2 linked regions of the Lonchura striata genome follow. The protein of the gene in region 1 interacts with the protein of each later gene in a biochemical or structural test. Links are inferred from orthologs where the notes say so. Each region holds a gene or a part of one and is shown on either strand. Other genes may lie near its edges.

Region 1 (16,027 bases):
GAGGATGAAAAACCCTCCTTCTTTCTTTCATCCCTAACAAGGCCTCAGCCTCGTGATTTCTGAAGTTACCCAAAGCCTTGGCCAGAGCTGTGTCCCGAAGGCACCGTGAGCAGGGGAGAGGGAGGGAGGCTTTGCCTGGAGCTCATTCTGGGCTCGTTACTGAATGCGGCAGCGGGGCGGTGCAGGACAGTGCAGGGCAGTGTGCGGGAGGGCAGGGGAGGTGCGGGGACAGCAAAGGGGCAGCAAAGGGACAGCAAAGGGGCAGCAAAGGGACAGCAAAGGGGCAGCAAAGGGACAGTCCAGTCCGATCCAGTCCAGTCCGATCCACTCCGATCCGATCCAGTCCGGCGCAGCCCCGCACGCGCCCTCCCGCGGGCGGCGCGCGAAGCCCCCGCGGCTGGCCCGGCGCGCGCTCGCACGTGACTGCATCACATGCAGGGGCCCTGCCCCGCCCCCTCCACGGGATCCCACCCAATGAGCTGGCGGGCGCGCGCCGTGTCCGCGCCGTGATTGGTCAGGGCGGGCGTCAGTCCGCGGGAGGGGCGGGGCCGAGGTTCGGGGTGTCGGAGGTGGGAGAGCGACGGGACGGGCTGGACTGAGCTGGACTGGACCAGAGTAGGTCAGACCGCACCGAACCGAACTAAACTAAACTAAACTAAACTAACCTAACCTAACCTAAGCCGTCTCAGCACGGTGGGGTGCCCGGGACGGCGGGAGGCCGGGGCTGCGGTCGGGGAGCGGGCGGTGCGCGCCGCGGGACTCGAGCCGCAGGAGCGCCGCACCCGCAGCGGCGGCGCCGCACCGGCCCGGGAGCCCCTCGGGGTGCGGGTGGGTGCTCGGGCCGGGTGACCGCTGCGCTGGGGCCCGGCGGGGACACAAGGCCGGGCCCTGTCAGAGCAGTTTTGGTGAAGTGACAGAAAATTCAGAGTTGTTACTCCAAAGGGAGTGACCTTCGGCCAGGGCTGCTCTGTAATTCGGGGCTTTCCAGCCCTGCACACACCCCGTGTAGCAGCTGGACAGGCCCCGAGGTCAGGTAACCAAGCCTTGCCCGACAGAGGGATGGGGGTTTGTGTGCGGGGGTGGCAGGAAGCTCAGGAAGCATCCCTGTGTGCCCGCAGGGATGGCCGGCGGCAGCCAGGACCGCAGCCTGCGGGAGGAGCTGACCTGTGCCATCTGCTGCGAGCTGTTCAGCGAGCCCGTCATGCTGGACTGCATGCACCACTTCTGCAAGGGCTGCATCCAGCAGTACTGGGACAGCTGCGCGCACGGCCCCTCGTGCCCGCAGTGCCGCCGCAGGTTCCCCGGCCGCGCTTTCCGCTCGCACTACCTGCTCTCGGGGCTGGTGGAGAAGGTGCGGCGCTGCGGCTCCCAGGAGCACCAGCACAAGATGCGGGTGAGTGGCTTCTGCCAGGCTGGGGAGAAGGGGACAAGTGCCACATCAGCCCTGTGCAGCCGTCACTCCTGCCACAGGCCGTTCCCCCTGCATGAAGCCTTATCTCACCCGAGTACATTGACATTTGTGTCTCTTTCCTCTCCCTATTTCCTTACAGCCGTCTGTCTTTTGAACACTTTTCTTTTGCATTTGTTTCCCTCACTGCTGTGTCTGATTCCAACCACAGCTTTGTCATTTCTCGTTTAAGAATGTGGTTCCCAAGTGACAGGGGGGTGAGGGCTGCTTGTGCCAGGTGCTCTGCTTGAGGGGACAGTCCCTTCACAACACGCAGCATTTAAAGCTTGTGCAAACAGATATCCCAGGATGGAGCTCCCAGTCTTAAAAATCAATTGGATTCATCACATGCACAGATGCTTAATTCTCAAGGCTGTGCATCAGGTGCTTGCTTGTCCTTACAGCCTGTTGTATTCTCCTCCTGGCACTGACCACAGGAATTGGGACTGCTCCTGAATCAGCAGAGTGCTGAAATGGCCTCCTTACCTTCCTTCTGTTCCTTGTTCCTGCAGAAGCACCTGGAAGATGCTTTGCAAGCTCGTCAGAAGGAGATGGAGAAGTTGCTGCAGAGGAAGCGCGTGGTGCAGGAGGACATCTGCAGCCTGACGGTAGCACCCTGTGGGAGCTGCTCTTCAGGCAGCTTCTGGGGCAGTGTTCACAGAGGATGTGTGTGTCTTCAGCTGAGGTCTAGCTCAGCTTCCTGTAAAAATCTAGATGAGTAACAGTGGGGATGTACACAAACCCCCTTGCATGTAGGCACAAGCTCATCACTGCTGGATATTCAGCAGAGGTTTTGGGAGGAGCATCAGCACTCATTAATGCAATGTTTACAAAATGCATTGGTGCAGCAGAGCTGAGGCCTGGTGGGCGGTGAGAGCTGTGGGCAGCCTGCTGTGGCCCTGCAGAGCTGCCTTTTTGGGAGAGCATTTAACTCCTGGCAGCTCTAAAATCCTCTCATGTCGGAAGGGATGGCAGCAAAGCTGAAGGAACTGGGTCACTGGCAGGGTTGGCACTACAAGAGTGGTGGCTGTGTCACAAGGACAGTATTGGGATTCACTGCAAAGCTCCGAGGTGAATGAGGAGCCTGAGTGCTCTCCATGGGTTTGAGAGGGACCAAGGCCCCTCTAGGTACAGATCTGTGAGGTGAGAACAGCCACAGGCTGACTGTGCTGATTTCTTGAGTGGTATAAAAGTGTTAAAACCAAGGAAGGGGAGTTAAAGGAAAATGGAAGTAGTTAAAAGATGAGATAAAACTGAGAGGGGAAAAAAGCCCTGTCTTCTGACTGGAGCCTCTGACCTGCCAGCCTGCTCCATTTCAAACCTCTGCCCTCTTGCCAGATGTGGAATAGACCTCTGAGATTAATGAAGAAGTATTAGCAAATAAGCACGTGTTTTCCTGTTGCTGTGCAAGAGCTGAGAGGTGTCTCAAGAGTAAAGGAACAAATCACTGATGTGAACAGGGAGGCCCTGCACCTCCTCTGTGGTTCTGGTGTGTCAGCACAAACACCTGCTAGAGCAAGAAGAGGCTGGTGAAGCTTCAGATCCTGAGGGACATGGGTTTCCTGTGAGGAGAAAGGGATGTGCACTTCAGGAAGCACTCCTCGAGAAAGTAATGAGGGCTAAGGTTGCACTTGGAGATTAAAAACTTAAAAAGATTTAAGGAAAACAAAAAGTCATTGGCTGTCTCTTGTAAACAGGCAGGAAGGCAGTGAGAACACGGCAAGGTTGGCTGGCAAGTAAACAACTGGGAAAAAGTGACCTCTGGATAGAGCTGAATGGGATTTTATCAGCCTTAATGAGAGAGATTAGGTTGTGCAGCTTGCCTATCAGGCAGCTCTGCTCAGGGCCTGGAACAATGTGAAATAAATGCAGACTAACCTGAACAGCTGAGTCTGCATCTCCACAAAATTTAAAGAGCTCCAGTCTTGCCCACAGGCAAATTCCTGGTGGTGTGGGAGAGGGCTGTGGCTGCGTGTGGGGATTTCTAGTTACAGTGACCAGGCCTTTGGTGGAGCTGGCTTTTTGGGTTTGTTGGTTTTCCCCTTTAGCTCTGCAGCCTTGAAGGTTGTCCTTGTGTCCTGTTCTCCATCCAAAAAGTCATTGCTATGTCTGAACCTCAAATTTCCAGGGCTCTGTAAGCAGAGTAACAGGCACAGCCATCCTGTGCACCTACTTGTGTGTTCTGGCTGTTGGACTCACCTTCTGCCTCTTCCCTCTGCTCAGAAGGTGTCTGGGGAGCTGAACTTCAAGATTCGGGCTGAGTTTGCTCGCCTTCATCAGATCCTGGAGGAAGAGGAGAGAGCTGTGCTGGCAGAACTGGGTGAGAAGGAGGAGCAGACACTGGCTCAGCTGCACAGGCATGTTGGCCAGCTGGAAGAGGGGATGGCAGTGCTGCAGAGGGACATCAAGCATGTCAAGCAGACCCTGAGCAAGATGGAAGATGTGTCACTACTGGAGGTAAGATGCTTTGCTGACTCTGGCAGGAGGCTGAGAGATATTTCAGGATCTCAAACTGGGATGTGGGAGTCTTAAATGAGAGCACCAGGCTGTACCCCATCTCTCATCTGTTCTCCCTGCCATCCCTCTGGATTATCTACCCAATCCCTTGGATCTGGAGACTTTAGCCACAAGAGATACAGTGACATCAGTTGTAGTGGGTCTTGGGAGCCTTCCTCATTCTCCATCCAAGTGCCCAAGCAGTTTTCCCCAGGCTGCAGTTCCTGGTAGCTTGGTTTCCTCTCTCTGTGCTGTGTGGCATCAGGAAGTGGACAAGGAATTTATTTGTGCAGCTGCATGAATTAGAGTGCCTGCTAATTCTCTCTGCTTCTCACTGCAGGTGGAGAGCCTGGATATCAGGTATGTGTCTGGCATGAAAGAAGCTGATTTGCTTTTCAGGAGCTTATCTTAGTCTCTGGCTGGGACCACATGGGAGACACACTTTATCTCAAGTTTTAAAAGCATCACAAATTGCTCAGGAAGTTGCTGGTGCTGTGCAAGGTGGAGGCTGGTCCCCAGCATACACTGGATGCTCTTCCCAGGGAGCATCCCATGTGTTGACATGGCTGGAAGAGTGGGTAGAGGAGACAGTGGTTTGGGATGGGTGCAAAAGCCATGCATGCTGCAGGAGGGAACAGACTTTGGGTGCTTCATCTTCTCCCTGCCCCTCCTCAGCTTCTTACTACTCATGAGGCTGCAGAAGAGACCCTGAAGTGCAGGTTTGTCTGAAGCTGGGAGTAGCTGAGGGCCAGAACTGCCACAGGGATGTGTGTCCTGTCCCCTCCCTCCTGATTCCACAGGCCCAGCCTATCTGGCCATGCAGGAATCCTGTTGGGTGTGCTGGGTGTGGGTTTGCCAGGAGTCACTGCTCCACAAGCAGTGCTGCTGCCTCTCTCTTGGGCACCTCTGTCCTGAGCCACTCACTGCACTGGGGACAAGGCTGCATCAGGCAGAGCAAGCAGAGACATTTGTGTCCTGTCTTTACCAAATCTGTCACGTGCAGCACTGTCCTGCAGCCCTGCCTGTGCTTTTCATGCCTGCACTGGCAGTGGCTCAGCAGAGGGATTGACCCTGCCTGCCTCTCTCCACCCCAGGCCCTCGGTGCGTGTGGAGACCCAGCCTGCCCTGGACCTGCAGCACTACAGGGACAGCCACAGTGGTCCCTTGCAGTACATCTTCTGGAGGCAGATGCTGCGCTCCATCTGCCCTGGTGAGCACATGGCTGTGAGGGATGGGTGTGGTGGGGCAGGGGTGCTCTGCAGAGGGAGCGTACAGCTGGTAAAACATCATGCTTGATGTTTCCGCAGCTCCTGCCCCACTCACCTTTGACCCTGAGTCAGCCCACCCCAACCTGGTCCTCTCCAGGGATCTGACAGCAGTGACAGAGAGGAATCGAGCCCAGCCCGTGCCCATCAGCCCTCGGCGCTTCCGCCAGTGCGTCAACGTCCTGGGCTCGCAGGCCTTCGACAGCGGCCGGCACTACTGGGAGGTCTGGGTGGGCAGCAAAACCAAGTGGGACCTGGGGGTGGCTGCTGAGGCTGTGGACCGGGCAGCCAAGGTCAAGCTGTGCCCAGAGAACGGCTACTGGACGCTGCGCCTGCGGAACAGGACAGAGTACTGGGCCACTGCCAGCCCCTGGGTGCGCCTGGCTCCCCGCCAGCCCCCTCGGAAAGTGGGCGTCTTCCTGGACTGCCAGGAGGGCTCCGTCAGCTTCTTTGATGCTGGGGACATGTCCCACCTCTTCACCTTCCACCAGGTCTCTGCAGAGAGATACTGCCCCTTCTTCAGCACCTGCTTCAGTGACGGGAGGGACAATGTGGAGCCCATGCGCCTCTGTCACCTGGCCCTGTGAGGGACCAGGGTGTGCTGGAGACCCCGGCCTGGCTCCTGTCCGGGACTGCACTCGAGGCCAGTTCTGAACACACAAGCCTGAGCGGTGTTGGAGGAGCTGTTTTGGTTTCAGTTTTGGGAGGAAGGAGGGGATGAGTCTCTTCCCAGGTCCTGTCTGCCCTTCCTTCCCTGTGCCATGGCTGCGGTTGCCACAAGGCACTGACAGGGGTTCCTGGCACCTCTAGCAGAGCAACCTGCCTTCCCTGAGCGCAGCAGAGTGCACTAACAGCAGCCACGGGGCTGCAGGGGAGGGGGCTGGGAGTTGCTGGCACCTCCTGTCTCTCTGTGCTCCCACCCGTGACCCCCGTGGAGCAGGGCAGCGGTCCCGGGGCACCATCGGGTGCCTCAGCCCCACGTCCCGGCCATGGCATCCCCAGCGGGAAGAGCTTCCCGGGGCTGGGCTGCGGGCCGGCAGCAGAGGGAGCCTGGTGCGCGCCTCGCTTGCTATTAAAGCTCATTAGAAATTCAGTGCTGCCTGCTCGGGGCTTGTGTCCTGGGGGTTCTGCTGCTCTGGGGTGTGGCACAACCCGGGGGCACCAAGCAGTCCCCCAGAGCCCTGCTCATCTCGCAGTGGATTTTCACCATTTTAAGATTTCACCATGTCTGGCCTGGCTGGCTCTTAAGGATCTGTACATGTGAAAAAATGCCAAGTCCCAATTCTTTCCAAATTCGGCAAGAATGTGGCTCTTTTCCTGTCAGCCAACTGTGGCCCTGCTGGAAGTGCTGCACCTGCAGGAGGGCAGGCGGGGTCCCTGGGGGACAAGTCAAGGGGGTTTGGCTGCTGTGGTTTGTGACCAGGGGGTGCTGAAGTGTCTGCCTCATGAGTCAGCAGAGCTGCTGGGATGGCTCCAAGCCTGGCTGATGGAAGTGGTGGGTGGGAGGGAGGATGGCAGTGTCTGGGGCGGGTGGAAATGTCATGTTTTTCCCACCCAAATCCATTCCAAGCTCAAAGCAGAGGCCAAAGCTCCCCAGTACTGCACAGTCCCCAGTGCTGGCTGGAGCCAGACACCTCCAGCAGAGGCTCAGCTTTCTGCAGCATGGCTGGGGCTGGGTGTGAGGCTTTCCAGCTCCCACAGCTGGGCACAGGACACTAGCCGAAGCAAGGCCTTCACTGGCCACCTGCCTGCCCAGTGGGGATGGCACAGGGGCCCTGTTCCCCCGTGGTGCCACAAGGGCCATGGCCTCTCCTGCACACCCCTACTGCAGTGTGCCAGGGCTGAGGGTGCCTAAAGCCTGTGCCAGGGCAGCAGAGGAAGCCAGAGGCAAGGATGTCCCATGCAGGGTTCAGGCAGATGTGTCCCAGAAGCACTGAGGACAGCCCAGGGCTGCTCCCACTGCCTGGGAAGTCTCTGCTCTGTGCAGCCTTGCTCGGGGTTGGGTGTGGGGGGCATGCTGAGGGTTTGTGCTCCCTCCTGGCCCTGGGCTGGACTTTAGCCAGTGAGTGCTGAGCCCATAAACTGGACTCAGCCTCTTCTCCCAGCCCTCATTTCCTCTTGCTGCCCCACAGCCTCAGCTGCAATAAGAGTGGAGAAGACAGAGCTGTTGGCTTGGAAATGCTGTGAGCAGGGCTGTGGTACCCCCTGCGAGAGCGCCTCTGGAAAGGCGAGGCTGGTTTGGTCACAGCAGGGAGTTAACACTGGGGAAAGCTGAAACCCATCAGCTCCCCAGCCCACCCCAAACTGCAGCCAGGCCCGGCTGGGCAGCACAGCAGTGTCCCCGAGGTGTGAGGGGACACGGATCCGCCGGGCAGCGGCAGGGTGAGCACAGCCAGGCTTTGCTGTCTGCCAGCTCCCACTGCCCAGCTGCTGTGTGCCCTGTGCCACGTGGGCTGGTGTGATGGCACAGGCTGCCAGCGTGTGCCACTGCCTCCCACACCCTCCCCGAGCTGGAGAGCAGCCAAACCTGCTTGTCCCAAATGTTCCTGAGGGAGCACGTCCTTTCTTCTCCTGCTGGGCTGTGCGTGGTGGCCGTGGCAGAGCCACATTTTGGGGTATAATGTCCTCGCCTGGCCCTGCTGGCAGGACAGGGCTGGAGAGGCAGAGCAGCTCCTACATAGAGGGGAAAATGCTGCTCTGGACTGCCATGCATGCAGTGTTAGCCCAGTAAGGAAATGCAGTCTAGATGCTGCCTGAAAAACACATTTTTCTGACAAACCAGAGCGCCGTGGAGCAGGAATTATAAGCATGAATGCAGAATGCTACCTGAGCTTGGCCTGGGTTCATGCAGAAGGGGATAGGGATGGGAGAGTGGAATGATGGGATTAAAGCACCTCTCACCCCAGCATCCAGACTCTGCACCTGCCAGGACTGGCTCTCGCCATCTTCTCCCAGGTCCAGCCTGTACTCCTCTTGTGGGTTACCTCATTGTTTTGTCCCTTCATGTTCCCACCCCAGTGTCCCTTTCCCCAAGTTATGCTAAGGCTGGGCAGTGTCCAGCAGCTCCTGCCTTGGCAGCCTTCTGTGATCTGTGTATGTCTTTATCCAGTGCTTTGGGGAAGCCTTTGCTTCCTCGGATCCCCCCACGTGCTGGAATGGGGACAAGATTTTAAAACAAGATCCTTTTGTTTCCCAGGGCCGCAACAATGGAAAGGTCCCATCGGTCCCACAGTCGCCCTGCGTTTGTGATGGAAAATTCCCCGCCCGGCGGGGCGAGCCGTGCCGGTGTCCTGCCATTACTGCCATTAGATGGCAGCGTGGACGGGCTGGTCCTGCCGCCGCCTCACTGCGCCGGGGGAGGATGCCAAAATCCCTTGACTTTTGGGGTGTCTGTCCCTTCAGCCCCGGGTCAGACCCTCTGTTCCTCTCGCACTCGGATTCTCCAGGCACTCTGACTGTGCGCTTCGGCCAGCAGTTCGGTGGTGCCATGTGAATCGTTCCCCTGTCACTGTCCACCCCCAGCACCTCACCGCTCCCCTCTCAAGGACACTGACCCCGATGCTGTCCCCAGCGCGGGGACACTGCGTGGCTGCACCGTCTCTGATCACAGCCCCGTCACCGGGGAGGGGTCTGATCCTGTAACTTCAGCTCTTCACTTAGTGCTGGGCAGTGCCACCCCTTTGTGACATTCCAGCTCTCCCTTTTCATGGCAAGTTTTGGAAGTCTCTCTTCAAACTGTAGCGGCTTGGACACCCACTTGGGGTGAAGGGACATGGCCACTTTCTGCTCTGCTGAGACGCAGGAGGGAGGTGATCCAAGATGAGTGTGCTGAAGAGTGATGGAGTTTGCACTCTGGGCTTAAAACTCACTAATCAGGATGAGGAGAGTCGGGTAAAATAAATGCTATGGCTTAGAGTCCCTCTGAGGGTTGCAGGAGAGGGACAGGGTGATTTCTTCTGTGGGTTTGGTAACGTGAGCAGTTGAGTGCACCAGAAGTTTTCCTGCCTTTTTGAAGCCATGAGCACATGGCTTTCATTCAGGCTCTTTCTTCACTGCCTACAAGTGAGCCTAATTAATAATCCTGTGGGGCGCAGAGCGGGGCCGCGTTCATTTATCCGTCCAGCGCTCGCTGGGCGCACGGGCAGCCGGCCAGGGCCGTGCCGGCTGTGCCACCGCGCTCCCAGCGCTCTGCCATCGCCTCCGTCTGTGGCGCGTTCGCAGCCAGTTCGCTCCGAGCCAGAGCCGCTGCGGCTGGCAGCGGCAGCGCCCTGGGGGCAGCGCCGCTCGCTTGGCGTGTGCCTGCCGGAGATCCGTGCAGAGCAGTGCTGCTGGCGCTGTGCACGCATGGACGGCGTGAGCGGGGGACCCTACTGCAGCCCCGCTGAATGAGGGTGCGAGTGTGAGCACACCCAAGTGCGTGCGTGTCTCTGTGTGCCTCAGGGAGTGCGGGAGGGGGGGGGGGTTCAAGGGGGGTGTGCAGGACTGTGTGCGTGGGTGTGTGCGTACAGGTGTGAGGTGTGGAGCTGAGGGGGTGCGCAGGCATGCAGGGGTGTGTGCAGGCAGGTGTGTTCCATCGCGTGAGGTGCGTGTGCGCAGTTGTGGAGAGCGTGTTTGTGTGCATTCCCCCGCTCCGAGAGGCCGCGAGTGTGCACTCAGGCACAGACAAGAAACAGGCGATGTACGGGCAGTCTCTCACAAGTGCGGGGGTGCACACAGGTGTGAAAACGCACGCAGGTGTGGGGGTGCGCATGTACCCATGGGTCAGGGATGATGCAGAGCCACGCACATGGATGGGGAACACTCTTGCCCCCCTGACGCAGGGGATGCAGACCCACACACACAGGTGGAGACACCCAGGTGCGAAGGGATGCGCGCACCCCGCTAGTGCGGGGAGCGCGGATTCCCCGTCGGTGCCCGGAGCTGCAGGTGCGCTCCCCCCAGCCCCCTCTGCTCCCCGCCCGCCCCTCCCCGTCCCGCCCCGCCCGCCCGGCGCCCCGAGGCTCGGCGGAGGGCGGCGGGCGGCCCGGGCGGGCGGAGGAAAAGGAAGCGGCCCCGGTGCTCCCCGCCCGCCGCCGCCGCGCGTCGCCGCAGCTGGGGCGCGGCGGGAGCAGAGCTCGGGCGCGGGGCGCTCGCACCGCTCCGCATCGCACGGACCTGCCGGCAGCCCCGGAGATGAGGAGAGTTTGCACGCTGCCCCTCTGGCTCTGGCTCGGCATTGTCTCGGAGGCAGGTGAGCTGCCGGGGCTGCGGGCTGCCCTGCCCGCTCTGATGCCCGCTCCGCACCTGCGGGCGCGCTGGGGACGGGGCCGCGCCGGCGGGACGGGACGGGACGGGACGGGACGGGACGGGACGGGACTCGGCGCCTCCGCCCGCGTGTCCCCCAGACCCGCAGGGACCCGCACTTCCCGCAGCGTCCCTCACCCAGGACGGGGATGTGCCGTGCCTGGCGCTGCCCGTCCCGGGCTCCCATCCCCGGCGGAGACCGGCGCTCCCGGTCCCGGCGACCCCAATCCCCGACGGGGACCGGCTCAGTCCGCCCTGGGGTGCCCCGTCTCAGGCCGGCCCTGCCCGTCCCATCCCCGGCCCGGACGCGCCGCGGTGCTCGCTCGGGTGTCCCCGACGGCGGTGACAGCGTACCCGCAGTGACGGGACGGGACGGGCGGACCTGCCGCGGTCCCCTGGGGCCCGGGGCCGTGGGGAGCCCCCGCCGTGCTGGTGCCGCGGGTGTCTCGCTGCGAGCGGGGAGAAGCCTCACGGGACCCCCGCGGGAGGGATGCTGCTGCGCGGGGACGCGCCCGGCTGGAGGCCCGTCCCGGCTGTGTTTATTTATTTTTTCACGCACAGTCATTAATTTGTGTGTGCCGGGGAGGGAGGCGCGAGGAGGCGGGGGTCCGTGCAAGGCTGTCCAGCCTGCCTGTCCCAGCTCTGGTCTGCCTCGGAAGTCACCCGAGGCAGATCCCAGTTAAATGCTTTCCCTGCAGAGCCACGGCGGAGATGGGGCTGCAAGCCCTTCTAGCAAACAGAGCCCATGAGACAGGGCAGAGCTGGGTGGGCACTGCCAGGGCAGTGGGGACAGGACACCCCACCAGATATCCCTAGAGGAGTTCTTTCTCACACAAGTAAAGCATTTATAGCCCAGATCAGAGCAAGACTGAAAGTTAATAATGGTGGAAGCTTGCAATGTGGGGATTAATTTTGGCAGCATAAATAGAATTTGCTGTAGCATCAGCTCAATGACTCGCTATCACCAGTGGCATTTGCTGCTATCGTTGAAGTGAGCTCATGGGAGAGCTGCAGGTGTGGCATGAATAGCATCACCAGCAGTGTCACTGTCAACCTGCTCTGCCCAAAAAGCTGCTGATGTCTCTGGTGTCATGGGGCCAAAGGACACAATGGGTGGCTGGAGCTCAGGGGATGCTCAAGGAAGCTGGGCAGAAAGGAACCTGCTGCTGGTGGTATTGCAGCAGGAGCAACTGTGCAAAGCTCTCTTGTTAGCAATTTGTAAAGCACAGTGTAGCTGCTCCTGGGTTCTTTCATCTCCCGGAGGTGCAGGAACAGTGCCTGGGAGGCTCTGGCCAGTGCAGCTGTGTGGCCTCGTCGGCACAGGGCTGAGCAGAGCTTTGAAGCTCTTGGTGCTGCCTGATTAGTGCAGCGATGAAGGGCGATGTGGAGCTCAACTGGCGGATGGTACCATGGGGATTTGCTTCCCCTCCTTCCATTCTATCAATAAGGACAATTTGTCAGTGCGTAAAGGACCCACAGATTTCTCATTAACCATAATCCCAATGGGCTGCAAATATTTGCTCCCCTTGGAAGCAGAGATGTGTGTGTGAGACTGTTCCACCTGTGAAGGATGAAATAATCATCTCAGGATCATGAAAGGTCTGTTCTGGTGCCTGTTTAAATGGGCCAGTATTAGAGACTGCTGTGTGTAAGAGCACAAAGCTCTTACACATCCCAGCTCCATGATGCTCCCAGGATGAAATGGAGCTGGGGAGCTGCCCTGTGCAGGCAGTGAGATGGGGGGAACAGGCACAGGTTCAGCATTCCAGATCATCTTGGCCTCTCAGGGTAACCCTTTCTGGATGGTGATGAGACCATCCCTGAGCCACCATCTTCTGGACACAGAGCCCTGCTGAGCCCCCCACGGCCAAACAATCCCGCTGGGGACACTGGCTAGCCCCTTCCAAGGGCGTATGGCCATTGTGTGAGGGAAGGGCTCGTGCTTGTGTAGGACCTGAGCCGATTGCCTTGGCTGCTGCTGCTGCTCCCCTCTCGATCACACAGAGCTCCGGGCTGGGCGCTCGGACAGCCCCGCGCTGACCGTGCCAGCAGCAACAGTTGCCTGTGCAGCTGGGATTTGAAGCAGTTGCTTTATTGCAAGTAATAAACATGGGCCATTTCAGCAACACCCTTTCATTCAACAGCCCTGACTGCACAGCAACCCCACCAGGCTCAACCACAGCGCTGAGCCAGGGCCTCCCAGGGGAGTGGGTGTTTGCAGCCTGTGGTCCCTGGGGGCTGCCAGGGAGGGGACAGCCAGAGCTCCTGTGCCCTGCTGTCTGCTTAAGGATGATTTCAGATGAGTGAGCTGCAACTACCGCCCTGGGATTTGGCTTGGGCACGTGAGACCGTAGCTCACTGCCTGCACAAACACCCACCAAGGCATCACTGAGCTCAAACTGATGTCTGGTCAGAAGAACACTCCTCCAGCAGCACAATGCCCCCGGCCAGTGCAGGCAGGGTGGACAGGGCTTCCTCTGGTGTATCCCATTCCACTCTGCTGCCTCTCTCCCATGGGCTCGCTCCATGCAGGATCGCTATCCCCAGGGTTTCTCTTGGCCCCGCGTTGTTGCGGTGTTTTCCGGGGCAGGCGTGGGAAGGGCAGGTGCTCCCAGCCAGCCAGGAGGGAACAGGCTGTTCCCAGCATCCCGAGGCAGTTCCTGGAGAAAGAAGGGGAGAGCGGGATCCCACGGGAACGGCAGCAGGAGGGAGGGAACCGTGGCCAGGGAGCAGTTTCTCCAAAACCATAGGGGACATCCACCACACTCAGGAGGTTGCCTTGCAGAGCAGGAGGGGGTTCTCGGTGGGTCCCCAGGTCTGTCCAGCTCTCAGCAGCTTTGGGGAGCAAGGTGAGCCCTGGGGATAGCACCTTTCTCACCCACTTTCTCTTCAACCACTCCAGCTGGCACAGCAGAGGTGACTTTGCATTCAGCCTGCTGGACTGAAACAGCCCCAAAAAAATGGGTACAGGGCAGGAGACTCCTCAATCCCAGTTTGGGGGGCTGTGCATTTAAACCAGGTTGGTGGGGGGGAAGGCTGCAACAAGCTGGGGGTGATGGGGAGGTCCTGCAGGTGCAGGGAGAAGCAGAAAGCCCTGTGATGGCCAAAGCCCACAGGCTCCACTGCCCAGGGAAGGTGGGGTGGTTTCTGTGTGAGGAATGACTAAAGCTGCAGGGCTCTTCCACTGGGATAGACAGACTGGGGCACAGTGCCTGAGGGCTGCAAAATCAGAGCTCGCCTGGAGAAGGCAGCTCCTGGTGGATTCCCGTGTTGGGAGCATGGTGGGAGGCTGGTGGCTTGTTGCACAATGCTGAGCAGCAGTGGAGCTCACCTTCACAGGGCCTTGTGGGTGTGTTTGCCTGGGTCCATGGGCAGTTGTGCATGGGTTTGAAAGGAGAAAATCCACAGGTAGTTAGTTCAAGCTGAAAGCCCCCTTTTCCCACCTTAGGCTGGTAGCCAGATGTGCCCAGTGCTGTGTTTTGCCTTGACCTGTCCCAGCTTTCCCTGCAGCTCCTGCAAATCTCCAGCTGGGCGAGGGGCAGCAGCCAGGTACATGTCCCACTCCTGCTGTGTACTGTGGAGAGATCATGACCTCCTGGTGCATGCCACGGTTTTCCGGGGAGACCAGAGCTGAGCCTCGCCTTGGGCCAGAGCTTTTGTCCTTCATTAGGAAAAGAAATACTGCCGCAGCTGCACTGGCATCTAGTGACTGGTTAAATGAATTCCAGGGGTTTTATTGCCTCTGGCTATCCCAGACCTTTGTTTCTTATTTCACGTTGTTAAAAGAGGGGGTTAGCCAGGTCCCAGCGGGGCTTTTTCTCTTTGGTCAGAATAGTTCTGATGTTTTCGGCACAGCATTATTGCCCATCTGCGGTGCCTCATTGTTAAGGCAGAATAGTGGAAGCGGAGGTGGCCTGTGGTCAAGTCGGCGAGGAGGCACAATCCCTGAGCCCAGTGTGGCTGCTCCTTGTGTCGAGGAAATCACTCCATCTCTAGGTGCAAGTTCAGCAGAAGGAAGGTGAAAAACCTGGCCCTGCAGCAGCTGGTGCTGAAACTCCCACTAAGTTTTATAAGCTGAGGATATTAAGTGGGGAGTCTTGGAGTCTCTCCTGGAGTCATTTCCCTGCTGAGGTAGCAGAAACAGGTTTCAGCCAGTGACTTGTATTTCACCTTACAAGTTCTCCCACGAGTGAATTGTTTTTCTTGCTGTGTTTCTGCCCCCTCCTTCCAGGGCGAGGATCCCTCCCGCAGCCTCTGCGGCCAAACCTGGAGGTGCCGTGGGACGGACGTCATGTGCTAATGAGGGAGGATCGGTTTAGGGGGTCAGGAAAAGGCTCTCTCTGGGCAAACAAGGAAGACGTGGTGATGGGGGAAGGCAAACTTAAGTGCTACAGTCTCCTGTATCTAAGCACACAGTAACTGGGCAGCTGCTGCTCCCCTACTCGGGTTCTAGGCAATGAAAGACAACAAGGACCCCAGGGCTGTTCACAGGAAGGACCAGAAGAAAGGAACAAATCCTGGTCCTGATCCCTGATGGGCACACCTCTGGAATGGGCAGAGAGAAAAATTAGATGAAATTTTACCTGGCAGCAGCCAGCCCAGGGCCATTCCTGTCAGAGCCTGGAAAACCCCTGCTCTGTTTCAGAAGAATTAATGAAAGAATAAGCTTGACTCTGCTCCTGGTGTAGATGCATGTAAAGAGGGAAGCGATGGAGCAGCTCACTGATGTTTCTGGCACCCATTGTCTCTATGTGAGGAGTAGCTGCCCACCCATGTGCAGGTGTGGAGGGGTTAAGCATTCTCCTGGCTGTGAAAATGCCAGCCAGTGCACCAAGGCTGCCAGCCGTGGTCTGCGGTGCCAGCAACGGTGACACAGCGCCCAGGCTCTGTCCCACCCTGGCCACACCACCCTGCCTGGCGAGACCACCTGCTCAGCAGGCTCTGGGGGCCAGGGTGTCCCCCAGGGAAGGGTTAAGCAAAGAGGAGCAGTGCCAATGCCAGGCTGGGTGTCCAGGTTCTCCCTTGGCGGAGGTCAGTGGTGGTTCATGGGAAAGGAAAAATTGGCAGCTGGGCCGGATGTCCCTGCATTTCCCCTCTTCCTGCAGCCGCCTGAACGATGTTCCTTATTTAGCTTTCCTGACGGACAGGAGGAATCTGATGGCGGAAACTGTCACTGCCTGATAACAGTTCAGGGACCCCTTTATGATGGGCGGCACGGCAGGGAACAGGGCAGCGCTGCCCTGGCTGGGAGGGGACAGCCAGGCTGGGAGGGGACAGCCAGGGCTGCCCTTTGCTCCGGGTTCTCTGGACGGCCAGGCAGGGTGGGAAGGGCGCTCGCAGCCTTTCCCTTTATGCTGTTCTGTGTACAAACCCTCTCAGTGCTACTAAAAAGACTCTCAAGACCAAGAAGTGATGGTGTGTGTCTGTACATCTGTAATATTGACTATTTTTCCTTCTTTTTGGTGAGGCATCTGAGCTGGTGGAAAAGGGCCATGGATGGGCAGAGGGGAGGCATGGAGCAAAGCCACCCTGCCAA
Region 2 (15,494 bases), on another chromosome or scaffold:
TCCTTCATAAAGAAAGGAAGCTGAATTTTCATTAATGAAAGAAAGCTAAAATAGCCGGTGCAGTTGTTCTGCTGTTCACTGGTACAGAAGCCCATATATCACACTTCTGCCAGGATGTTAAAAAAAATTCTTTTAGGTCTTCCCATGGGCAAAGTGGGTCTGTGCAGCTGTAGTGGGGGCACTCAGCATTTTGTTTGCATTCCTCAAATCCCAGCGAGATGTATGATGATTTGCAAAGCATGCTGGGGAGGTAGGAAGCAGGTGGAGAAGTAGATAAGGGAATGGCACATATTGAGAGGAATAAGGAATTTCTCAGGAATAGGTGTTTCTGTAGGAAAGTTACCCTATCAGATTTACTTCCCTGCAGCACCATAGCTCAGGTCATTTTTCCCCCTCAGCAATATGGTTTCAAAGCCAAGTTCAAGAAAGGGTAAAAGCCAGTTTTGTAACTGGACTTACTTGCCTTGAGAGACAGGCCTAAAAGACTTACAGATCCCACTGTGTGATAACTATAAAAAGTATGGTACAAGGGTTTTTTAGTGGGGATTAGAATAAATGAGTTATCACCTACAACAACTGCACCTTATTTATTTTTCCCAAATGCCAGGATGGTGTCCCCAGGAGATAAGACACAAATAAACCTTGTCTGGAATAGCAGCAGTGTTGATCAGAACAAAAACTGCAGACACCATGGCAGAGGTCTCACAAGTCAGAGTTTGCACCAGGTTGGTTTTTTTTCCTGTTCTCAGGAAGTTCTTTTCTCTGCTTGCCTCCTGTGGGAGCCTACATTGATACCACTACACCATTGGTTATAAACAACACGAATGCCTGTGGGAAAAAAGTACCAGTAGGCTGCAGAAAACAGAAACAAGCAACATTTGCTGAGCCTGAGCTGAAGGCTTGTTTTGGTTGCTTTCAGACCACTGATTATCAAAAAAGATGGCCCACTGCCCTCTGAACCTGCCTTCTTGCCTCCTCTTGGTTTCACAGACTTTCAGATGTGAGCTACTACTGATGGCAAAGTTTAATTAGTGCTTAATTTTAAACCACTGATAAGTGGATTTGTCAAATGCTGCATCTGAATAATCTACACAGCCTGGTGTACTTTTCCAAGCTCTGCTCTATCCTCAGACATTAAAATCCTAGCTGGGATGGACTGGATTGGATCAGTAGCTGGGAGGGATTTTTTTGCTCTTTCTCATGAGCAAGAACTGCTCTTGATAAAGTAGCAGCATGTTAGTAGTTGCCTTTCCAAATTGATAAGAGCCAAGGACAGACGCTCTGTGGCATAACAACAAAACAGGATTGTTCTGTTTGCCTTCAGTGCACCTTGTCAAGACAGTAGCAGATAAGTCAGAACAAATTGGCCTTCCTCATAGCTTCCCTGATAGCTTCTGACTTCTGAAGGAAAAACACAAACAATCATTTCTGCAGGAACACTGTAAGTATATTTTCACACATTTTTGGCTCATTGAGCCTATCAGATATGGTAATCACAGAGAATCAAAAGCAGTAGACGAAACTGGAAGAATGAAATAGTTCTGAAAACCACAATCTCATAATATTTGTTTAGAAGTGTTTCCTAACTTTGAAAGGAAGCTGGATTTGAAGATGAAAAACCTAGTTTAAACAGAGAAATTGTTCCCAGTGACATTTCAAGTTGATTTTTCTAGCAGTTGAGCACTTTGCTGGAACTTTAGGAGTTGCACTTGAGGAAGAGATCCCATGACATGGAAGATTTTTAGAATTTAACTTTTCTAGAAACCAAGAAACATGGCTGGCTCTCCAGTATTTCCATGCCTTCCCAAGGGCAAGGCTCTTTCCACTTAGGTGGTCCAGGGCCTCAGGAGAGTGGGGAAGTGCTGCTTCCCTCTCACCAGTGGACAAGGACCATGTACAGCTGTGTTTGGGAAGTGGCTTCCCACTCTGTGCAGCTCACAGGGACAGCAGGAGATTAAGAAGATCTGTTTGAGCAAGAGCGACTGCTGGAGGCTTTAACAATGTTTAGTGCAGAAGCAGGAAATATTTAGCTGTGGGAAAGGAGTGCATGTAACAGACAGCAGGCATGTTTACCTCCTAGCTTAGCCCACCTGACCCTTGGTCTTTTGATCAGAAAGCAGCTTTAGAGTTCAGGGACTCCTCAGGCCTATCCACTGTAGTTTTCTCTTGGACAAAACCAAAGGAGGTTTCAACATGGGGAGAACACCTCTGCAAAAGGAAAAGGCTGTGAGTCTGTTTAACTTGGAAGTGACCAGTTGTTCCTTTCTCTTGCCTGTCCCCCAACAATCTATCAATAATGTGAAGCAGAAGGATTGAGAAGAAAAGCAATGAGATTTTAATTCTCCAAGATCAAATCTTGCTGCCTCATTAGAGAGGCAGTTTTAGGGTTGGAAGGCAGAAGCAGCTCAGATGGATCATTGGCTTTTCTTGGCAAAATATTTGCCTCAGCTCTGATGAATATAGGACATAGCTCTTCACATCTAATTTTAAAATTCTGGAAAAAGTATTTTATGTCTGTTGCTGCCCTAGGTGAGGAAAAATTTGAGGGGGAGAGACAGAAAGAGAGACAGTGAAATTTGCGGTTCTCTAGCTGAGAGGTTCCAAAACATAAGAGACTGTTGGGACAAGAACTTCAATAAGGAATTTTTAAAGCATTTCCTGATTAAAAAAAAAAAAAACCTTAAAAATAATTCTCAGTATTCAGAAAACTCATGTGGAAATCTAATTATTCCATGAGGACTTTATATATTAGGTTGGCATCCTGAACCAAGCCACCGGAAGGCAAGGGCTGCCCTTGACATCAGTTCAGCTCTGGAGCCAAGTCCTGTTGGACATGTGTGGCTGTGCTGCCCCTGTCTGAGGCTGCCCACTGCTTCCCACCATGAGCCTGTGCTCCTGTTGTGTTCTGACTGGCAGACATTCGCTGTTCAGGCTGAAACTTTCCATACCAGATGTCTGCCTCAAAATTATTATAATAATTTTTTTGCTTTCTCTGTCAAAATGGTTTGATCACAGCAGAGGATGAAGCTCCTCCTTTATCCTCCACTGCAGTCAAACCATTTTGACAGAGAAAGCAAAAAAATATCATTTATCTGCACAAATTTTTTTTTCTGTTTCCCTACCGTGAATCACAGATGAGAATTTTTGACACCTGAGGAGCCTTTTTTTTTTGCCTCAGATGTGTACACTGATATCTTTGATAAAAGCCCACACAGCCCTCCCAGGGCTTTGCAGCAGTCAGGTCCTGTGCTGGTTGCTGTCCATCTGGGAGCAGAGCAGGAGCTGGGTGCAGGCCACCCATGGATGCAGGTCCAGCCTGTGGGGCTGAGAGCACAGGACCTGCCCTTTGTGCCCCTCTGGCCACAGGGGTCTGGCATCCAGGGACAGGAAACCAAGGGATTTGCCTGTGGGAGGGGAAGGAAATGAATACTCATGGAGCAGGGCAAGGCCTGGCCAAGGAGGCTGAGGACATCTTTGGAGATCAGAACAAGAAATGGGTCAGGAAAAGGAAAATTTGGGCAGTTAAAACCACAGGGCCAAAGAAGGGAGCTATGGTTGGAGAAGGGAAGGGGAAACTGTGGTCAGAAATGACTGGAAAAGTGTCCATTAGGGCTGTCTCTGAGGAAAATGGACAAAACTCCTGAGAGTCTGTGACAGAAGAAGGATGTCTGCATCCAGGAGGAAGCAAGTGGGAAGGAGGGTGACAGTTGGCTAGCACAAAAAAGAGACCAATTGGAAAACTGAGTCCCTGTGTCCTGGAGGTGAGGGAACACAGGTCAAGTGCTGGGAGTAGAACAGGGAATGGAGAGAGGAAGGAAGAGCTCTGACAGGTGAGGAATACATGCACATGGTGGGGAAAAGGGATTCATGTGCTCAGAAGAGGATGGAGTTTTTAAAGTTTTTGAAGGGTTAGGAAAAGCCAGCTGCCATGGAGATGCTGGATCACAGCAGTTTGTACATAAGCTTTTTAATATTCATGCATGATTAAATCAGGATATTTGAAGGGGAAAAAGAGAGAATTTAAACACTTAGCCCCCTGAAACTCTTGCATGATACCACACTGAGGCCACCTGATGGTTTGAAGCATAAACAGTTTTAAAATTTCAGGTGTCCTGGGCAGAGCTCACCTAACCTGGATTCATATAACAGGGGGCAGAGCAGGTTGCTGGTGCTTGACCCTTCCTAGGTCTCATCAGTTGTGTATTAGCTGCATCCTGACCTTGTGTGTTTTATCCAGGCAGTCCTGCTGTTGATCTTAAAGAACTCTAAAACAACAAGGTAGGGTAAGTGAATGCAATACATAATTTCTGTGTACTGCAAATTCAATTTGAGGGGAAAATGGTAAGAATAATCATAACCCTGTGTGCCATCCAACGCTGTAAAATGAAGCACGTTTTGTGGTGTATTTCCACATGTGTACACATACAGAAGCCCACAGGTCATACAGGAGAAAACAACCCAGAGAGCTAACACTCTATGTAAGACATTAAAAGAAAAACAACAGATTAGCCAAAAGCCTCCATCTATACCAAAAGAGCCAGAACAAGCAATCTTTTCCTTTTGGCAATCAGCAAGTGAAATACAGCATTTAAGTGTGATACCTTTTTGCGTGTGACCTATAAGATTCCTTTAAGATAGTCTTGGAAACTCTCCGTGAGTTGTTTCAAGAACAGTAGCCTGGGGCTAAGCTGGCCTCTTGACAGTGGTAACCAAATTTCAGTGAAAATAATCACAATTGCATGTGATTATATGGATGGACAATCTTATCACAGTGAATGAATATAAGCTAATATAAGCTAGCAAGGAGAGCTCTTGCATTTACTCTAGGCAAAGTGAGTATGGATTCAAAGTTTACAATTACAGGGCTTTCTAGTGGTTTTACTTCTGCGCTGAATAAACTTGCGTCCCACATGTGGCTAGAATTATCACCCCTGCCAATTATGAAATGGTTACTATTCTGTATTAGAAAGCATGCTCTGGTTTAAATGAAGTGATTCCTGCAAGTACAAAACCAGTGATTTGTCATGCAGTGCACAAAGTTAATGTATTAAACAAGGCTTATTACTCTGGTCCTAATGCCTTCAAAGAATTGATTGCTGAGGTTGTAAATTAAAAGCTTGTGAGCAGTCATCAGGCATCAGTCATCCTGAGGCACACACTGCTCACCACTGCTGACTTACTGGGCTGGCAACAGCAGTCTGCAATTAGGCACACAACTGAGCATTTCTTTCCTAAAGCACAGGTCAGCATGCAGAAGGCTCACAGACTGGTGTGTGGTCATTGCTTACAAGTAGGAGGTTTTCTGAAGTGGAAAAAAATAATATTAGCTTGTTTTGCTCTGCCAGTGAAAAACAAATAATTTGTTCTGGACCACACATTGAATTAATCAATCTTGGACAGACTGCACGTGTAGAAACTTGTTCCGGTTTTTGTTCTGATTTTTCTAAATGATTGCCCTGGATGTTCTCACATTGTCTCAAAGCCAAAAAATCCTACTCTCATGGTGAGGCTTAAATTTTGTTTCATGTACTATATTCAGAAGAAAAGTTAATTTCCAGGCAATGTGCTCTATTATTACTAGTTGCTGTTTATTTCAAAATGCTATATAACTTTTTCTAATGAAGGAAAAGAGAAATGTTCCTCTGATATCTGCCAAACAAGTGAACAACTGATGAACACGTGTTTTTACAGGGAAAATTTCAATGCCAGCATACTAATTCCTGCAATTATAAATACCTGAAATAAAAAAAAGTGAATTTACCAAATATTCAAAATACTCTGACTCATGCTTCTTTTTCAGATTTTTCTTTTATTTTCAATGACTGAAACTAAAATTTTAACTCAAGAACAAAGTATACAACAAGTACTTAATAACTAGTAAAAGAAGTAATAAAATATTAAACAGAGAATATGGATTTAAATTCCTTGTAGATTCATTTTCCTCTATGGCTGCTAAACACCTCTGCAACTAAACCATCACCAAACAAAAAAATAACGATTCATTACAAAAACAAGAAACCTACTACCTTGCACATTAAATGGAGCTAATTCTGGAATTTGTATTATTAAGAATCAAAGTAAATAAAGTTCACTTACCTTCACAGAGCCGTTCTCATAGTCAGATCCTTGCAGCAGATGTAGAAAAGAAATTATGAAGATATTCACAGTTGCCCACGGTTTGTACATTCTGATGTTTAAAATCCACAGGTTACTACGCAGTCGTTGTACAGCTGGATGTGTCTGTTTCAAAAGGCATTTCTCTACCACCAACACAGCAAGGCTTCCAGAATTTCTCTCATAAACTCACAAAGGATTCCAACATCTGAGAGTAAATATCTGTCTCTTTGCTACTCAAAACAATTGTAAGCTCCTCTAGAGAATGTAATTTCTTAGAGCAGATCTTAGATACACTTGAAATAAAATCATGATAAGGTTTTAAATAGATATATATCTGTATGTGTACACATACACACTCACAAGCAATCAGGTATGGATTCCAGTTAATGAAGTTAATATATCTTCCATCAAGACACAAGGAGACATTCAAAATCCATCTGTGGTCCAGAAAATGAAGGAAAGCTGCTCGATTCTGTGCTCGGTGTTACAGCAGGCTTTTAAGATGGGAGTGTAATGGCCAGTGTTTTGAGCCGAGAGCTGTAATCCAACTCTGTATGAAAACTTTTTTCACAACCTTCGTGGAAGCTTGCAGAAGCATGTGTCTTAAATCTGATACAGACTTTGGCAGTAACACAGGCAAGTTTTGGCTCAAATCCCATTTTCTTCCTACCAATAGCATAGCAGTTTTTAAACTAACTGATGCAATCTAGACTCCCATTATTTTAAAGGAGATTACCTGAAACATGAAACTTTAGCACGCGTTCTTACACCACACACATATTTTATGTTACTGCACTGAAAGAAAAAAAAAAAAAGAGGGAGGGAAAGGAAAAAAGAAAGACTTTCATGTGTTCTATCTCATGTGTCACAGGGGCTTCTGAATAAAATTTTAAAAGCAAAGTTAAGAACTATTTCTGACAACAAACAAGATTTTTATTTTTCAGAAGAAAGTTCATGAAGCTGGACTATAAAAGGACAAAATCTCTTTTTATTGCAACAAAACTCAACGAGCATTTCTGCTCCAAGATAAGTATGTATTTTCTTTATATATTCCTGTAGTTTAAAACAGAGATTTAAAAACAAAGATCAATAATTTAAAATTATAGCAGAGACAAAGACTCCAATACTTATATATGTTAAATCCATATTGCTGTACTCATATATATTGTATTCAGGAGAACAGTTCCACTCTCACAGGTTTTAGTGTTTGCAGAATCAGACTCCACAGCTGTTAAAAACAGTCAAGTACATAATACTTCAGAGTCCTGGTTTCCTACCTCTGATGTCCAAGCAAGTGCTGTCTTAAATACAAGTTACACTTCTCTACCTACCATTAGGTTAAATAATTTCTTCTTAAGTATTGACCACAAATGGATCTTAGCAAGAAAATTATTTTAATCCAGTCTTTCAAGTTGTTGTCTGTTAATTGTCATTAGGTTTTAAAAAAATATATGTAACACTATAATTTTTTAGCTTTGTATTTTCCCACTTGATTTGTGAAAGCAATCTATTTATTTTTTTTTTTCTTTTTTCTTCCTCCTCCACCACCCCACACTGGTTAGTACGAGGACAGCAGGAATTTCACCTCTTCAAAACGAGAGTGAAAAAGCTGCTTTGTCAGTGTACCTGCTGCTCCCCCTCATACCTCCCTGCATCCAGTGCCAGAGACATTCACACAGTTTTGCACAGCCCACACTACAAGGGTCATCCCATGTCTGTACTGTAGGTTATAATTAACATTCTTTAAACTATTTCATTCATCATTTTAAATTACTGTGTTATCTAACACTTATGTAGGGTGACCTTGACCTCATTTAATGTCTCTGGTTGGCTTCTGATATTAATATCCATCCCCTTGCAGGAGCTGAAGGCCTGCTAAAAGGAATGGCTATGCCTCTGCTGCGGATGCACAGCTTCCGAGTAAGGGATCAAACCAAAAATAACCTCTGTGGGCTCAGGACTACATGAAAATAACTCTCAATTGACCTGCATTAACTGGAGGGAGTGTCTGGCCATACTCACCTCTCACTTATGGGATCACCTGGAGCACAGACCTGGAACCACGAGAGAGTCAGGAAGCAATATGTGCCTGCACACCTTAAAGCCTGGGAGTGGGATCCTTACACAGCCTGTCTGTTCAGGGATGAGCTGCTCTGTTCCCTGGTAGGGCTGGTGCCAAATGCCCACAGACTGCCCTTCAGGGACTCTAAGCAATCTAGGATTAGAAAATTAAAGCTATTTGGTTTGGAAATGTTGGAGAGAAACACCTCTGTAGTATTTTCTGTATGTTGTATTTCATCGCTGTTACTTACCAAATTCACCTCTGAATTACAAATACATTTGGAAAGACCAGGCCTGTATCTTTCTCAAAGCAAACCATTCATCAGAAAAGGTCACCCACCTCTGGCTTCAGGGGGCTTTTTGGCAGGAAGACTGAACTGACCCTCAGGCACTGAATCAAACCCGTTTGTAAGTTAGATGCTGCAGGCAGAACACAAAATGTACCTAGTCCCTCCCTTAGGACTCAGACACAAAGACTAGCAAATAAAGAAAAACCCTTTTGTTAACTGCAGAGGACTCTAAAGCTGGCTCAAAGCTGTTAGTGAAAGCAAAGGCAAAGCAAGAGAAACCAGCTGGTAGGACAGCAGAGAAACTCGTAATGAATTTCTGGGAAACTCTTTTCACCATCTGTATCACAGTGCTCATCCCATTCCCTATAGTTCTTGTTTCTCTCCTTAATTCCAGATAAGAATTGGTTCTCTCTTCAGCACCACCTCAGCTCTGGTCCTGACACAGCTTTCTTATGATTTTTCCTGCCTAGTGTTTGAGAACACTTTAAATACTTTTGTGTTGGAGCTCGAATCTCAGAAGTATGATGAGATTATATTGCAGACTGCCTGCAACAGCAGTGAACAGACTTGTTGTCCGGCCAGAATCTTCTGTTTTCATTTAATTTATGAACATAAGTTAACAATACACACACTCTAGTTTCATCTTTTATCTCAGTCAGCTGTTGTAGAACCACCTGCTGAGATTTGTGCAGGGTTTGGGGTTTGTACTTTTGAAATCTAGCACTGTCTAAAAAGAAGCTTAAATAAAATTTATATGACTATTTAAATTACTTTTGTACCTGAATAATCAGCTCCACAGACATCATCAATGCTAAATACTGCACAATGAACTGAAATTTCAAGCATTTATGCCACCTTTGGGTAAGCAGCTAATACATTAATATTTTGGCAATGAGTCAGCTCTTTACAAGAAGAGATTAAAATTTTGTTTAGTTAAATCTGTTTCTAATGTTCATCAACACTGATATCTGAAATGGATGAACAATACATATTAAAACTTTAAAACTATTCATCTACAGGCATTATATATGATTTTTTTTCAATAACAGTTGAATTATGAGTCTTTCTTCCAAAGTAATAGTCTCACATTGCACAGAAACCTGGAATCACTGATTCCTACTGTCTGTTTTTGTGATGGAAGAGAACATATAAATGATCCAGAACTTGGTAAATGAATGGATTAATCATCATTTCTTGGTACTTTTATGATAGGATAGGCAGACCACGTGCACTATATTTACTAGCACTCCTCACCATGATGCATTGGGGGCTCTATAGTTGGCCTTCATGGCACATAAAGAGGAATAAGGCCAGTACAGATGACTTAAACTAAAAAACAGCACCATATTTAACTCATACATTTCTTGCATGTGTGCACACCCAAGGAACAGAAGAATTTCCTAACAGTGCTGAACCACTCATGTTCTTCAAGCTGAAATCTTTTCAGATGAGACAGTAAATTCCTTCAGTAATCTGAAAATAACTTAGACCTGCAGAAAGGCTCGTACTAGTGTCATTATTAGCCAGAAAAAATTAAAAGGGAACACCTTAAACAAACAAACAAAAAAAAATATCTTCATTTGGAAAAATGTAACAAAGCACCAAAGGAAGATATTTCAGGCTTTTAACACAAGAGTAATCCATAAATCAATAGGACTATTTAGATCAAGGAAGGTTTGTGAGGATATGCCCTAAATAAACTCCAATTAAATTGATCAGTTTGTAAAGTTGAAATTGGAGCTAAAGAAAGGAAGTTCATAATCTTTACTTCAAAGAAAGTATTGTTTCACCAGCTACTTCAGACTTGAAAACTGTATGGCACAATGTCCAGAATAACACAATTCCCAATGAAGGTTATTAAGTATTTTCAAGATGATTCTATAAGTAGGTCTGCCCATTCCCTCTAACTAATCTATACACAGGGGGACTTGTCTTCTTGAAAACTACATAGAAAAAAAAATAAAACTGAGAGAGTTTATAAAATATTGCAAACAAGGATCTAATTTACATTTAATAAACACTCATGACATAGCAGTTATATGGCAATCCGGTCACTTAGCACACATTATTAAACTAATTATCAAGTAATCATTACATTAAAATCTTCTTTTGAAATAAAGCAACATTTATTAAAATTGATACTGGCATCATAAATTTCAGTGAAATAGCAGAATTCTTGAAACATCACACTAATACTAAGCTGGATTGATAGAATTGAGGGGGAAAAAAGAAAAATCCCATGCACAGAATCTCAAATTCAGAGCACCAGAAGATTCTGCCAAAGCCAGGCTAGCGGAGTGATGGGGACAACACCAGAGAGCCAGATCCAGAGCCATCCCCCTCACCAGCCCCAACAGTGCTTCATCTCCTCAGGTTATTCTTTAGCTGCCCTTAAATTAGATCATTTAATTGTCTGCTTGCTGCAGCAAACCTGGAGCTCACAGCAGGATGCAAAACCGGCCAGGGAAGAGGGGAAATCCCACCGGGTGCCTCTGCTGCGCCCCAGGCTGCAGTGGCTCAACCGCTATCCACAGCTTCATCTAGCTGGCTGAAAGTTCGCCTGGGAATGTCTGCACAGGCTACAGGCACAGCCCTGGCTGAAGGGCTGGCATACTCCCAGCTCTCCACAGCATCCCCTGGCTCAGTCCTCCCCTGCAAAAGGCAGATACAAATCACAAACAAACACTTTTTGTTGAGCCTTTGAGAGATGCAAACACCGTGTAGCTGCTCTGGTTTTGAACAGGCTCTGCCTCAACCTCATGGAGAGCCCAGCTGCCTTGTTACCTTTCACTAGTTCACATTTGTGACATCTAATGCATGGAAAGACAGAAAGACTCTCTGGGGATGCGTGCTGTGCTGAGCAACAGCTTTATATCAAGTACGAAGAAATTTGTGCTTCTTTTGTTTCAGTGCTTCTTTTGTGTCTGTTTGGGTAACTCAACTTCTAAGTCTAACCTACACAGAGATACCTGATCCAGGGAGCAAGACCTCTCTCTGGATTCCTGTTATTCATATTTATCTTCAATAATGGGAGCTCTGTGTCTGCTTGTCTTCATATCCATCTGTGTTTACATACCTGTTAATGAGGGCGCAACTGAAACAATAATCAAACTTTAATTACAAAGGTGTGTAGTAGCCTTCAGGAGCCTTTATTTCACTTGTTATTTTATAAGTTCTCATTTCTTTCTACATAAAAGTGGGAGAAGCTGAACATAAAGATAAAACAGGTCTTGCAGTTAGGTAGAAGAAAGGGAAAGGGAAAGGTGGGGAGGCAGGGGATTGGTGAAACAGAAAAGAGAGGAGGAAGGAGAGGAGGAACTCTGACTGGATGATATCCTTCACATCTTCCCCTGCCCCTCCAGACTGACTGTGAAGCAGTGGCTGGTGTTCAGGTGCATCTGAGGATCACTACTTGTTCAAGTCAGGTTTGAAGCAGTTCAGAAAGCCAAGGCAGGAAGCTGTTACCAAGAAGATGGATTCAACATCCAGTTCAATGGCTATATTCAGTCTGAGTAAGTGCACAACACAGTGAGTATTCAGACTACTGAATCCTGAAGATGTTGCAAGCAAAGCAGTTGAAATCACGGGTTCTTGTAATGTAGAGAATAATAATATGTTCTCATTTTCTCCAGCATATGTGGCACGGTTGCTAAATTACTCTGGGAATTGAGGTATGCACAGCTTGCACCAACTTGTGTAACTGAACAGACATTTGCTGCACTGTGCACATCAAGCCCAGAATTTCTCAAGAGAAAGATGTGACTGCAGGTGATATCAACATCCTTAACCTTGCAGGCTCTAGTGATGTCTTGAGCAAGTGCACATAGCAGAGCAACAATACAGCTTGTACTTCAGACATTTACTTTCTTCTCATCCAGCAGAGTCTCACAGCCATCTAATTCAAGTGATCGTAGAGTGGATGGTGCCAGAAGAGCAGCTACAAGACATCAAGGAAACATCTTTTACATGAGAAAATCTTCATTTATTCTAGTGGTTGTTGCATTCTCAGAGGTCAAGAAGCAACTATGTGTTATGGGACAAGAGAGTTAAAGCAAATTTGTGCAAGAACATTTTTCTGAAGCAGTCTTTACCACACAATCACCTTCAAGTGCTTCTGGAGAGCTCCACCCATCTCATCGCAACACTCCTTGAGGTAAGGCAGACTTTGTGACAGGAGTGGAAAATGTAAGGTTAGTTTAATCTTAGTACTTCACACACCAGGCTAGAATTTGCCACAGGCTCCCATAAGCAGCTGGTGGAACCATAGGTATAAGTATCTTCTGATAGAACAGAACTCTGTTCTGTCTATCAGAGCAGAACATGAATAGTCTCACAGTCACATCTACTCACAATTAGCTTTCTGGCCTTTTTCTGGACTTTATAATCATATCCAATCTACTTTAAAAAAAGTTATTGGTTAAAGGCAACACGGAATACCTCAAGTTCAAGTGCCTGGCCAAGTTCCAGGGGTCAGATTTTTTTTACTTCCTAGTTCTTCCCAGGGAGATGTGGCCATGAAATAAGAAGAAACATGGAAATGGTTTCCATACCAGAGCCCCAGACTCTTGACCCATGGGTACAGCTAGAAGATGCTGAGAAAACATCCTGCCTCTCAAGACCAGCAAGAAACTCCTCACACAAGACAGCTTAAAGATACCTATATTCACTCTCCCTGCCTCTTTCTGTCTTCATTGAACGCAAAGCAGCTTTTTGTAGGAACTTTCAGCATTAAAACGTCATAGAAACAACGGCCTTTGCCCAGTCATATAGCTATTTTTGCAAATAAAAGCTACTAAGTGATCAGGCAGAGAAGTAGAAGTTAAAACATTCAGAGGCAGAAAATTTTTTTACATGTCCAAGGATAACTGAAACAACATTGTGCTAAGTAGGACAGCAAGGAGGTGGTAAGGAAGGGATTTATACCTTTATTTTCTACAGGTGATTTCCCTACTTAATTCTGTAGCATCCTGAAGTGACATCCTTGGAGCAATATGTACACACATAGCAGAAGGTCAGAGAACCAGTAGAGGGTTTATCATAATTCTCCTTGCAGCGAACATCCCAAAACTGTGCACACAGCTATTGCAAAGCACTGAAAGTTAATTTCAGGATTTACACATATGTGAGGACATTTTAGGGTAACAACCAGTAATATGAAAATAAAACACTTCTGGTGCAATTTAGAGTTTGAGTATGAAATGGGTATTATTTACATTTTGTTTTTCTACTTTGACCCTCTCAGATACTAGGCCAATAAAAGGACAAATCAGCTCCCTGACATCAGCAGGGGAGAATAGATGAGATGTCTGTTGAATGTTTAGATAAGAAAATGTATGCTTCAAAGTGTGTATATTGCAAAGTTAATCTCTAGCTTTAATAGGAGAATTTTTTGGCACTTAAAACACAAAAGCAGTTCTGTGTTTTTACAAGAAACCCACCATTTCCTGGTTCTATTACATCCTATTGCTATCAATAATGGCTAAACATAAACACAGTTTGTCAATCTCACCCTCTATACTTCCCATTGAAGACAAAATAAAAGATGGTTTGGCTAACTGACCCTTCTACAGAGTTTTTTCATCCCCACATTGTTTGTGCTGCTCCAGCCCTGCCTGCAAACGAGATCCAATGAACATTTCAGATCCGTCATCATCTGGCCAGTCACCTGTGCGAAATGCCCATCCACTGCAACACCAGGCTTCAGGTGCCCTCAAGGTTTCTCAAAGGACAGGAGGTGCCCTCAAGCAGCTCAGAGGGTGACCTGGCATTCATTCATTCATCTTGGAGCCTGCTGGTCTCACACCCAATGCAAACTTGTTTTTCTGTGGGTGAGACTGCTGCCCCACATCTGCTGACAAGTGTAGGAGTCTGCACTTCTGCTCAGGTAGCACAGAAAGCTGGATGGATCCCCCACCAGGAGTGGTGGTGTAGAGAAGAGTTCACTTGGCCACAAAAAAGCTGTAAGGTTTTTAACTAGAGTGCTTTATAATGTCACAAGAGCTCTGAGAGACCTCCTTATCCATCTGGGAATCACCCTCTTGTTGGTATTTGATGAATATACCATGAACTTAAGCCTCCAGCACTGCCTTTTGGCCAAGGTTTTCATAACAAAATCCTCCAAGTTCAGGAGGGCAGCCAGAGAACAGAAAGCAAACCTACACTGCTTAAAAGAAAAGGGGAAAGACAAGAACGAAGTGAAATAATGAGATATTTATTCTTAAGTCCATATCAATCTCTGTATTATTCTTTAAACACAGTTGAGAAATTTTATATAAAAATTTCCAATTAAAAAAAGAGAATACTATTTAGATACTTTAAACAGAAGTTACTTATTTAAAGAAAAAATTTAAAAATAAATAAATAAGCAAAGAAAATGAGCAGACATGAGTCCAAAGGAAATTAAACCTTAATTACTCAAAAGCTGTCTGGGAATAGATCACTGCTGTAACATGTTGAAAAACAGTAATAGCTAACTTAATATCAAACTTTCAACAAGCTTTAGTACACTGAAAAAAAAAGCCCCATAATGTGCTCCACCTAAATGTACCTCCACCTTCAATTCTAGCTGTTCTGATCCCTTCAGTTTGACAGAAAATCTTCAGTAACCATCTTCAAGCAGGCAAGATTTTAAAGAGCCGAAGATGTTGCAAAATCTTTTCAGGCTCCATGAAAGACACTAAAAAGCAGATTTTAATCCAATAAGCAGGGTTTAATCAATTTATTTTTTCAGTATTGACTGGGAACCAAGAATATCTGTAGACTTAGATATTAAAGAGGCAGTGATAGAGGGTTGAGTATTGGATCTCTGCTCCTCTGCCATAAGTCACAGTTACCTTGCTCCATGGTCCTGCTTTGGACCACTGTAGTTAGCTCAGTCCAAGGCAACACCCAAGGATGGTTCTGGCAATAGATCATTCCAGAGATCTCTTTCCAAGGCTGAAGCAAGGGGATTCCCCTCATACAGAGCTTTACAGTCAGGCTTTGCTTCTTCAAACATGCACAAGTGTCTTCCTGCCATGCCCCAAG

Evidence for each region.
Region 2: the proteins of FLT4 (region 1) and VEGFD form a complex in vitro, tested with the Homo sapiens proteins (2 studies listed by BioGRID). The link is inferred for Lonchura striata from reciprocal best matches to the Homo sapiens genes FLT4 and VEGFD.

Annotation. Positions count from the first base shown.
Region 1 is NC_134617.1:6,550,381-6,566,407, forward strand, and holds the start of FLT4 (vascular endothelial growth factor receptor 3), read left to right. Parts: upstream 1-10,240; 5' UTR 10,241-10,380; coding exon 10,381-10,438; intron 10,439-16,027. Other genes in the region: nuclear factor 7, brain, read left to right, coding at 1,121-1,393, 1,960-2,055, 3,671-3,904, 4,284-4,303, 5,038-5,153, 5,251-5,795. UniProt on the Homo sapiens protein: Tyrosine-protein kinase that acts as a cell-surface receptor for VEGFC and VEGFD, and plays an essential role in adult lymphangiogenesis and in the development of the vascular network and the cardiovascular system during embryonic development.
Region 2 is NC_134604.1:100,087,294-100,102,787, forward strand, and holds the start of VEGFD (vascular endothelial growth factor D), read right to left. Parts: upstream 6,681-15,494; 5' UTR 6,187-6,680; coding exon 6,097-6,186; intron 1-6,096. UniProt on the Homo sapiens protein: Growth factor active in angiogenesis, lymphangiogenesis and endothelial cell growth, stimulating their proliferation and migration and also has effects on the permeability of blood vessels.